Ovis aries: one gene and its partner. The protein of the gene in region 2 binds, or shares a complex with, the protein of the main gene of each other region. Links are inferred from orthologs where the notes say so. Each region holds a gene or a part of one and is shown on either strand. Other genes may lie near its edges.

What was found.
Region 1: RGS9 (region 2) and RGS9BP share a complex: the UniProt entries of both Homo sapiens proteins name them as parts of the RGS9-1-Gbeta5 complex. The link is inferred for Ovis aries from reciprocal best matches to the Homo sapiens genes RGS9 and RGS9BP.

What each region holds. Positions count from the first base shown.
Region 1 is NC_056067.1:42,655,539-42,660,357, forward strand, and holds the start of RGS9BP (regulator of G-protein signaling 9-binding protein), read left to right. Parts: upstream 1-2,051; 5' UTR 2,052-2,385; coding exon 2,386-3,099; 3' UTR 3,100-4,819. UniProt on the Homo sapiens protein: Regulator of G protein-coupled receptor (GPCR) signaling in phototransduction. Participates in the recovery phase of visual transduction via its interaction with RGS9-1 isoform.
Region 2 is NC_056064.1:61,170,783-61,175,501, forward strand, and holds part of RGS9 (regulator of G-protein signaling 9), read left to right. Parts: intron 1-1,623; coding exon 1,624-1,720; intron 1,721-3,690; coding exon 3,691-3,741; intron 3,742-4,719. UniProt on the Homo sapiens protein: Inhibits signal transduction by increasing the GTPase activity of G protein alpha subunits thereby driving them into their inactive GDP-bound form. Binds to GNAT1. Involved in phototransduction; key element in the recovery phase of visual transduction.

The DNA of each region.
Region 1 (4,819 bases), on a different chromosome or scaffold from region 2:
CTTATTCCTGGCCTCCTGCCCACCTCTGCAGCTTCATCTCCTGCTGTCCACAAAGCTCCCAGAAGAGATGGGTTCTCCTCCCTTCTACCCATTTTATCCTAGAAACTACTCTTTCTCTGTCAAGGCCCCATTTGGCCCATAGGTGGCTGAGACGGCCAAGGGCCACAGTATCACCACTGAAACAACCAATTAAAGGGCAGACTTCTGCGCGAGAGATCCCTGAACCCAGCGCTCTGCACGGGGTTGCAGGCGGGCCGGCTGCCTCAATGCCAAACCTGGCAAGGGGCCTGGAAATGTAAATATCCTGCTAACATCTGCTGCTCCTCTCTAGAGCTGGTGGAAGGGTGAATTACTTAATCGAAATAGGGGTCTCTCTTCCGGAAACCCACAAAACTTGTAAAATTCCAGCCCCAAGGCAAACTAGGAGTCCCCTACAGTTTCTTCTGCGCCTCATTTCCTGAATGTCCTAAATCCTCAAACAAGACCCTGCACGATCGCAAGCGCCCACGTCCCCAGCACCTCCAGGGGCGGCCAGAGCCGCATGGCCTTGCTCACGCGCCAATGGGCAGTCCATTTTCAACGAAAAGAACTGAACAGACTCAGAATCCAGAACACCCCTTGGTGCTTCATAGTTTTCCCGGGGTAATCTTAACCCAGCTGAAAGAGGAGACCCCCGCCCCATGAGAGGCAGGCTAGCAGGGATTCCCTCCTCTCCCCCCAGCGCCTCCATCACCACGGGGACCACGACAGCCCGGCTCGAGGATCCGCACCCCTATCCACAGCCTCCCATCCACAGCCCCACCCCCCTCCACCCGCTCCGCCAGGCCTCCCTTAAACCGCAGAAGCCACCCAGCCCGTGAGCGACGGCCCTGACTATTATTGCCCCCAAGTCTGAGTTCCTGGGATCCCAGACTGCTAACCTGTACAGATGCCGCGGGGGTCAGAGCGCGCACTCTTCGCCAACCCCACCCCTCGACCCGCAAACACACACGAGGGGCACAGCGAGCCAGGCTGCGGACTGGAGCTGGAGAGCGCGGGCGCGGCTGTCCACTCCGCGATGGGCCCAGGCCTCGGGGGCCTCCCGGGGACAGCCGGCCCAGCTTGGGGCGCCGGCCGAGGAAAGAGCCCCTCCCCCTTCTCCTCTCTGAGGCCCCGCCCGGCCTCTGAGCCCAGAGGCGCAGCCGTCCCGAGGGAAGGGAGGCGCGGGAGGAGACAGGAGGGAAGACACTTACTTAAAAGGCTACATAGTTTCACTCCCCGCCCTTCCTGGAGTGGCGCCGATACCTCCCGGCCCCTCGGTAGAGACCTCAGGGCCCACCACCCCAACGCGGCAGAACTGCTGCACCGCCCACCCCCGTTGGGCGGAGTCGCACCCCCAGGACTCTGGTCAGTCCAATGAGAAGCTGTCTTTATTCAGAGTGACGCGTGCGCAGAGCAATCATTGAGCCCGCCCAGCCAGGGGTGGGGCTCAGGCGGCAAGCAACACTTCCTTTTCAGACTGGACCTGCCCAGAGCCATCGACTGCGCCTGCCTGGAACGGGAGGGGGCGGGGCCGAAAAACACATCTGACACAAGGGGTGGGGTCCAAGCTCTGTTGCTGGAAAGCGGGCTGGACTAGGATGGGGAGATACGGCAGCCTTCCCGCCCCGCAGATTGCCCTTTACTACTCGGTTTGGAGGACAGGGGTGTCCAGTCCTACGAAGCATACTACTTCCGTCGGTGGCTGGGTCTAAGAGTCAGAGCCCCTGGATTGTAGCCCCATCACTTACATGCACGTGGCGTGAGCTTGATCCTCCTCCTCCCTTTTAAATCTGAGCCTCAGTTTCCCCTTCTCAAAAACAGAGGAGGGTTGGGTCTGCTGAGCGTTAATATTCCAGACTGTAATGGGGTGCAGAGGAGGGGGAGAGGGGGGACCTGCACGTGACCTCCCCGCGCAGGGCCCCGCCTATCCCTGGTCCATGGGATGGGAGCGCTCAGCGAGGAAGGGCGGGGGTGGGCGGATCCTAAGAAACCCGACACCTCTGCCCTTAAGGCGCCCGGAGCGAGCGGCTCAGCGGCCCGCTAGCCCTGGCGACGGCAAGGGAGGAGGATGGGGACCTCAACACGGGCTTCGCAGGTGCTACCGTGGAGGCGAGGGCTGCGCAGAGATTCGGCGTGTGACTAGGAGCGCACCTGGGGTGGATGGATGAGGGAATGGCAAACCCGGTCAGCGGAAGCGCCTGTCGTGGACCCTGAGCAGCGGCAGCGCCAAGCTCCTCTCGGGCCATGAGGAGTGCTCGGGCCGTCCGGCCGAGGAACGCCGTCGAGGCTGGCTGCATCCTGCTGCGCTGAGTGGGTGAAGGTGAGAGGGGCGCAGGCGGCCGGGCTGCGCGGGAGAGCAGCGCCATGGCGAAGGAGGAGTGCAAAGCGCTACTGGACGCGCTTAATAAGGCGACCGCATGCTACCACCACCTGGTGCTGACCATCGGAGGCTCCGCAGACTCCCAGAACCTGCGAGAGGAGCTGCAGAAGACGCGCCAGAAGGCGCAGGAGCTGGCGGTGGCCATCCGCGTCCGGCTGACAGCCCCGTTGCGAGACCGGAGCCTGGGCGCCGAGGAGCGCGCCGAATTCGAGCGCCTCTGGGTGGCCTTCTCCGGCTGCCTGGACCTGTTGGAAGCCGACATGCGGCGTGCACTGGCCCTGAGCACTGAGTTTCCGCTGCAGGCGCCGCGCCGGCCGCTGGTGCGCACAGGGGTGGAAGGCGGCGCGACCGGCGTAGCGGCGCGCGCCCTGAGCGCCCGCAGCCTGCGGCACGAGGCGCATCGCGACTTCGACGTGGAAGACCTGCACCAGCTGGAGCGGGAGATCCTTCAGGTGGGCGAAATGATCCAGGATATGGAGATGAAGGTCAACGTGCCCCGCTGGACGGTGCAGGCCCGGCAGGCGGCAGGTGCCGAGCTCCTGTCCAGCGCCAGTGCCGGCGTCTCCTCGGTGGGCGGCGTGTCGGTAGAACAGCGCACTGGGCCCTGCGACCTGAGCAAGGCCAAGGCCGCCACCATCTTCAGCGCAGTGCTGCTGGCGGCTGTGGCCTTGGCGGTGTGCGTGGCAAAGCTGAGCTGACCCGTGCCCGACGGGCCCCCGCCTCCACCAACCCCTCTCCGGAGACACCTCTGGAAAACGTCTGCAACCCCCTGGACTAGGGATGGGAATGGGGTCTGGCATGTTTAAGGGGAACGGTTCTAAAGCACAGTGTGTGTAACGTGTATGTTTGTACGCGTGTTTCAAGCACACATCTGCCTGGGCAGAACGTGGCTTACCTCTTGCTGGCCCGGGAGGAGTTAATTTTGCGCGGGCCACCAGGGCATTATCGCTAATGTATGCAAGAGCTTTATCCCCTATTAATAGAAAACCGTTCTCAGTGACCTGAGATTCTTCCCAGTTAATACGTTACCGCCTGTGCTGCTGGGGCGTGTTTCCGCTGAGGCTGAGCTTGGTGCCCCCACCCCTGCGGGTGATTCCCATTCTCAGAGAGAGACAGTTTGGAAAGAGGATGGGGTGAAATGAAGTGTGCGGTGAGGGCGCTGTTTTGTGTTTGTGTGTGTTGCTTTTGTTTCCTGGAACAAGAAAGCAAATGGTAATAAGATGTGAACAGTTTTTATTACCTTCATCCTTTGGGGCCTAAGCTTAGGAGAATGTGTGTTCTTATAGGGCAAGATTACACACTTCTGCACCTACTTGCCTACTGAAAATGACTCCCTGGGTGGGACACAAGCTTTGGGAAGGGACGCAGTCTATCCATACAAGCACTTTCTCCTTGACTGGGGCTTATTTTTGTTCCAGAACTAGACCAGAGTTTCTGATCCTCCTTTGGGGGAGGGCTGGGGAATCCTCTTTGGAGCCCTTAATCCTAACTATCCCTTGGAATTTGCTTGCTAGCCAGTAGGAGAGCTGGCTTTGGAGGGAGCTGCACAACTCCCTGACCTGGACACCCCCTGAGAGGGTCAAGTGACATCACTGGGCTCAGAGGTTTTGAGCCAATCAGCCCTGAGACTAGGTTAGAACATAACAGCTTTAACTTCAAAATTTAGGAGCTTTTTTTAAAAAAAAATCTTCTGTTTAAAAAAATCATATGACCACATTGTGTACTATCAAAGCTGATTTTTTGTAAAAGACATTTGGCCACGAGTTCATACAGTTGCCAATGAATCATTACATGATGTCTTTACTTAAATACTTAGATTGCTAAACAAACATCTCATTTATTTTGAAAATCTGTCTTCAAGGCAGGAGATCATAGCATAAACTATTGGAACCACAGGTGTAGATGACAGAAGTTAAGTGGCCCTAGCCTTTTTGTGGCAATAAATAAGGAAATGTGGAAAACACCCTAGGTCCCAGGCTGGAATTTGCCTGAGTGGTGCCACCAACTCCCCACCTGTGGTTCAGAGAGAGCGTTGCTGGGGAAGAAAGGCTGAGAAAACAAGATGCATTTAACTCTATAGATAAATTGGAATAAAACCCAGAGACTGATTTGGCTGAAAAGTGAAAAGAATTTTTTTTCTCTCTCTTTTTTACCCCAGAAGGGAGAAAGGGGACTGGGAGGAGGGAATGGGTAGTGTTTCACAGGGCAGTTTGAAGGGCCAAGGTTCAAAAGTAAATATCAGTCCCAAGAGCTCAGTCCTACAGACCACCCTCCCAGCCTCGCTCACCCAGTCCCACTCCTCAACACACAGATAGTTAAACCACAGGGACCTGTTTGTGTGTTTCTGTAAAGATGGTTTTAAAAGATCCACAAAATCTTAAGCTGATTAAGAGTTCTGCAACAATAACTAATAAAAGG
Region 2 (4,719 bases):
GGGGTCACCCGGCGTCAGGCGAGGCCCGGGTCCCCCTCCATCCTCTTGCTGCCCAGGATGGTGGGGGGGCTGAGTCTGGGGGGCTGGAGGGGGGCTGACGTCTGGGGTGCGGGTGGCTGTCCCCCCGGGTCTCTGGGCCCCCAGGCACAGGGAGGAGCAGGGGGGAGTTGGCAGCAGTTGGAGCTGAAAGGAGGGGCCTCTCACCCGCTGAGGACCTGGGGCGCGGCTCAGACAGCCCCATCTGTGATGGGCACCGGGCCTTCCTGCCGGAGGCAGAGCTGGAACCCGGGTCTGCGCGGCTGTGCTGGGCCACGACGGCAGAGGCAGGGCCCGGAGTGCACGCCCTGGCCGAGGTGTGCGCAGTGGTCCCCAGGTGGCTCTCTGCGGGGCCTGCGGGGCCGTCCCCTGCTGGTGTCCTCACGTGGCGCCCCCTCCCCCTGCCCAGTGTGTGTGTCAGTCGCGGCAGACTCTTTGCAACCCCTTTGCTCCCCAAGGAGCCCACCGGGCTCCTCTGCCCATGGGGTTTCCCAGGCAAGAATACAGGAGGGGATCTCCCTGACCCAGGGATTGAACCTGTGTTTCCTGAGCTTCTCCTGCATTGCAGGCGGATTTGTTACCGCCTGAGCCACCAGGAAAGCTCTGTGTGTGTCTGAGTCCTTACTTCGTCTCTTCAGTGGACACCAGCCAGGCCCGCCCTAATGACCTCCTTTTAACTTGGCCACCTTTGCAAAGACCCTGTCTCCGGATCCAGTCACATTCTGAGGTCCTGGGGGCCAGGACCTCAACCTATGAATCTGAGGGGTGGGCACCATAAGAGAGTCTCTCGGAGATGGGACCACCAGCCAGAGTCCTGTGGTTTCCTCCCTGGAGAGACCCCGGGGAGACTTCCCTGGGGAACGTCTGAGGACGGTGGACCCAAACCCTGAATGTTCTTGAGGTCCCTTTGCTGCCCCCCCCCACCGCCAGCTCCACTTTCTGAGAAGTGTGACACCTGTCAGGGAGAAATCTGACTCCCCTCATCGTGTTTTTAAAATAACTCTCATTATTCCTCCTCTGAAGGTTATTTTCAAATCCTTTGTAACTAGATTTCTCTCTCTCTCTCTTTTTTTTTTTTTTTTTTGATGCAAAGAGAAGGAGTCAACCCCTCTGACTTTCTGCTGGAGAAACTCAGGTTTCTAACTCATAACTTGGGTTTCTATTTCTTCTCCAATGTATGGGGGCTTGGACTCCATGAAATGCTGCTATTTCATCTCATACACGTTTTGGGATAAACGTGGATTTTCTTCTGGGAGCTAACGTGGGAAATGGGGCCCCGGGCTCTCACATCCGAATGGCAGGCAGCCTTGGGTGGAGCAGGCACGTCCCAGGCTCACGGGCAGGCATGAGTCCAGAAGTGGTGCTTCCTGCAGCCCCAGGCCCCTCGGTCCCCACCCGTGTCCAAGAGAAGCACCCCCTCCACCCCGCTCCCAGGGCGTCTCCTCGCTCCCCTCTGCTGTGAGCCTCTTGGCCGGCCCAGCGGCCTGAGACGGCAGTGGGCTCCTGGTTGTAAGCGCCCCATGTTCCTCTTGCCGTCTTTTGCTCCCTTGGTGCCCCTCAGCTGACCCGGGCAGTTCTGTTTTGCAGATCGAGGCCCTTGTGAAGGACATGCAGGACCCAGACACAGGGGTCAGGGTGCAGAACCAGAAGGTCACGGTCGTCAGCATCCCTCACGCCATGACGGGTAAGGTGTCTGGCAGTTTGGTCTTGGCCTGAGCAGACCACACACAGGTGTTGGCACACTAGAGCCCACAGGCCAGAAGCGGCCCCTGTTCTGTATTTGCGAATAAAGTTTTATTGGAACAGATCCACATCCCCATTCACGTATTGTCGGTGGCTGCTTCTGCACTGCGGTGGCAGAGTTAACACCCACACACCCACACAGACACACACACCCACACACGAGTCCAGCGTCCAGCCTCTCATCCCTTGTCTAGGCGTGTGAGCCACTGTCCTTCCTGGCACCTGGGGCCCCCTCGGTTCCCGGATTTGGGACGCTGCCCACTCAGCCACGGTCCCCCTCGTTTGCCCTACGTGGTGAATCCCAGCGGCAGTCGGAGCCTCTGTTGTGCGGCATTGGCGCTGCTCAAAGCAGACTGGCTCAGCGCCGCTGCCCCCTCGGAGGGCAGGTGGCCGGGGCTTAGGGAACGATGGGGCTGACGTGCGAGCTGAGATCAGCACAGACCACGCGGTGGACGCCCCGGGAACCCCCTAATCCCATCTGATCTATTTCAGGAAGCGCCCAAGTGGATGCGAAAAGCCCTCGGCTCCTTGGCGGGGAGTGCTAACCCGTCTGCTGCCAGCTGGGGGTGGGGGGCTCCCCTTCTTGGTGTGCACACCTCTGTGTAGGGACGTGGGGTGGACCGTCTAATAACACACCCAGTCCTGGGATTCTAAGTTGGATTTTCAGTGAAGACGTCTGCTTTTGAATAAGCAAGGGGCTGAATAAAGGCGAGAGCGACGGGCCCCTCTGGGAGCCGTCACCGTGGGCACGTGGACGTGGGGAGTGGGTGGCTGGATGTGTGTGCCTTCAGGACGTGTGTAGGAAGGGGCGGGTACAGGCTGTGCCCCCTCAGCCGTGCTGTGCCCCCCACCCCAGGGCACAGGCAGTGGAGTTCAGACCCTGGCTCCCCCCGTGGTGTGTTTCGTGGGCCAGTTTCCACTCAGGCAGGGCACCCAGCTCAGCCCTTGGGAAGCAGGCTGGGGTCGCTAGAAAGAGTGGTGGTTGGCATTTGCTCGATGGCGTTGGAGCTGGGGTGCATCTTTGTTGTGAGACGACGTTGCCGCCTCCGACGAGGAGCGTGTCCTGCCGAGGGGCCGGGGCCTGGCTGAGCCGGAGACGCACAGCTTCCTTGAGGGCCCGCTTCCATTCTCGGCCGCTGGTGGGGCTCGGCCTGTCCTGGCCCGTGGATCAGCGTGAATCCTTGGGAGGGCTCCCCAGGCCCTGATCCTGTCCCCGCCGGCCTCCCATCTGCGTTGCCCCCGGGCCAGCCCTCAGATGTGCAGGGCGCAAGGGCAGATGGAGCCCACACTCCACGGTCTGAAGTTGCAACTGAGACTACAGGGTGTTCCTAAGAAAGTGTCTCATCCTTCTGCTTTGACAGAAGGCTTTATGATGACTGAAAAGCCAGGCTTGGATGTAGCACTGGCTGTCAGAGTTTTGCAGGGGAACGTAGTGGCGTCTGAGACCCAGCACCCCAACCCTGGCGCACTCCCTTCCCCTCCCATCCGGGTTCTCATTACTGCTGGGACTGAGCTCCGTCCAGGGCTCCATGGACAGCTTGTTTGGGGCTGTTTTTTTTTTTTCCAATGGTCAAGACTTAGTGTGTTTACCTCCCTCTTGATGAATGACAGTCCAGGCACCCATTATTGTATCAATAAGGAAAGAGAGTCAGTACCTCGGAGAGGTGAAGGCTGAGGGGGTGGCAGGGACATGGGGTGAAAGTCTGGCTGGACTCACATTGTGGGAGGCCCTGAATCATGGGCTGGGGGTTCGGACTGGACATAGTTGGGGGGTGGGGTTCAGGGAGGTCCCTGGAGGATCTGAGCAGCAGGACGAGATCACGGCTGGATAGGGAGGCGGCCAGTTGGGCAGCAGCGTGTGGGTAGGTGTCGGGGAGGCTCTGACGTTGGCCAGACCCTTCTGCTTTGCAGGAAGTGACGTCCTCCAGTGGCTCAGCCAGCGCCTGTGGATCTCCGGACTGGGTGAGAGCTCCTTCTGTCCTCAGCCCGACCAAGGGCTGCTGTGGCATCACCCCGGGGCATATCTGGGTGCGGCTGGGTGGGGCGCAGCCTGTGTCTCTGAGAAACTGACCTTTTAGTTGGCGAGATGAAGCCTTTGTGAGTAAAACAGCTAGACTGGAAGGGGTGATAACTGGGGGGACACAGCTGTTTTTTCATACAAAATACCGAGAGTGTGTGAATCACAGGCTTCCCTGGTGGCTCAGATGGTAAGAGTCTGCCTGCAAGGCGAGAGGCCCAAGTTTGATTACTGGGTCAGGAAGATCCCCTGAAGCAGGGAATGGCAACCCACTCCATTCTTGGCTGGAAGAATCCCATGGACAGGGGAGCCTGGAGGGCCACAGTCCATGGGGTTGCAAAGAGTCAGACACGACTGAAGTGACTAACGTGACCACTGCTACTACTAAGTCGCAGGATTAACTGGGGAGGAGTCAGTCAAGAAGGACTTCCTGGAGGGGGTCATGCACACGTGTATTTGGTCTGGAAGGAGATGATGCCTGTGAAGTGTGGAGGGGAGCTCGGAGGGTCTGGACCCAGGGTGCAGGCAGAGTCCAGCTTGGGGCAGAAGTCGACTGCCCCTTCCTGCCTCTCACGGGGTAAAGAAGGGTCTGTTGGTCAGAGACACTCTGACCTGGGTTTCTCCAGACGCTCCTGGGTTTCTCCAGACTCAACGGTGTTCTTCCAGGAAGTCCCCATCTATCATCCCTAACCTGGCCCCCATCAGCCCTGTGGTTCACTGGCTGCCCTCCAGAAGCACTGAGCTGTCACTGGGGCGACCAGGCTGGGGGGCATTCTGGGACTGTCTCCTCAGCTGGTGCTTGTCCACAGTGAAGGTCAGGAACCGCTGCTCCCACTTGGCAAAAGTGCTGTGAGGATGGGGGTGCCCGTCCTGGCATTTGGGGTGCTGTGCGGGGGCGGGGCAGTGAGCTTCTGCCCTTGGCC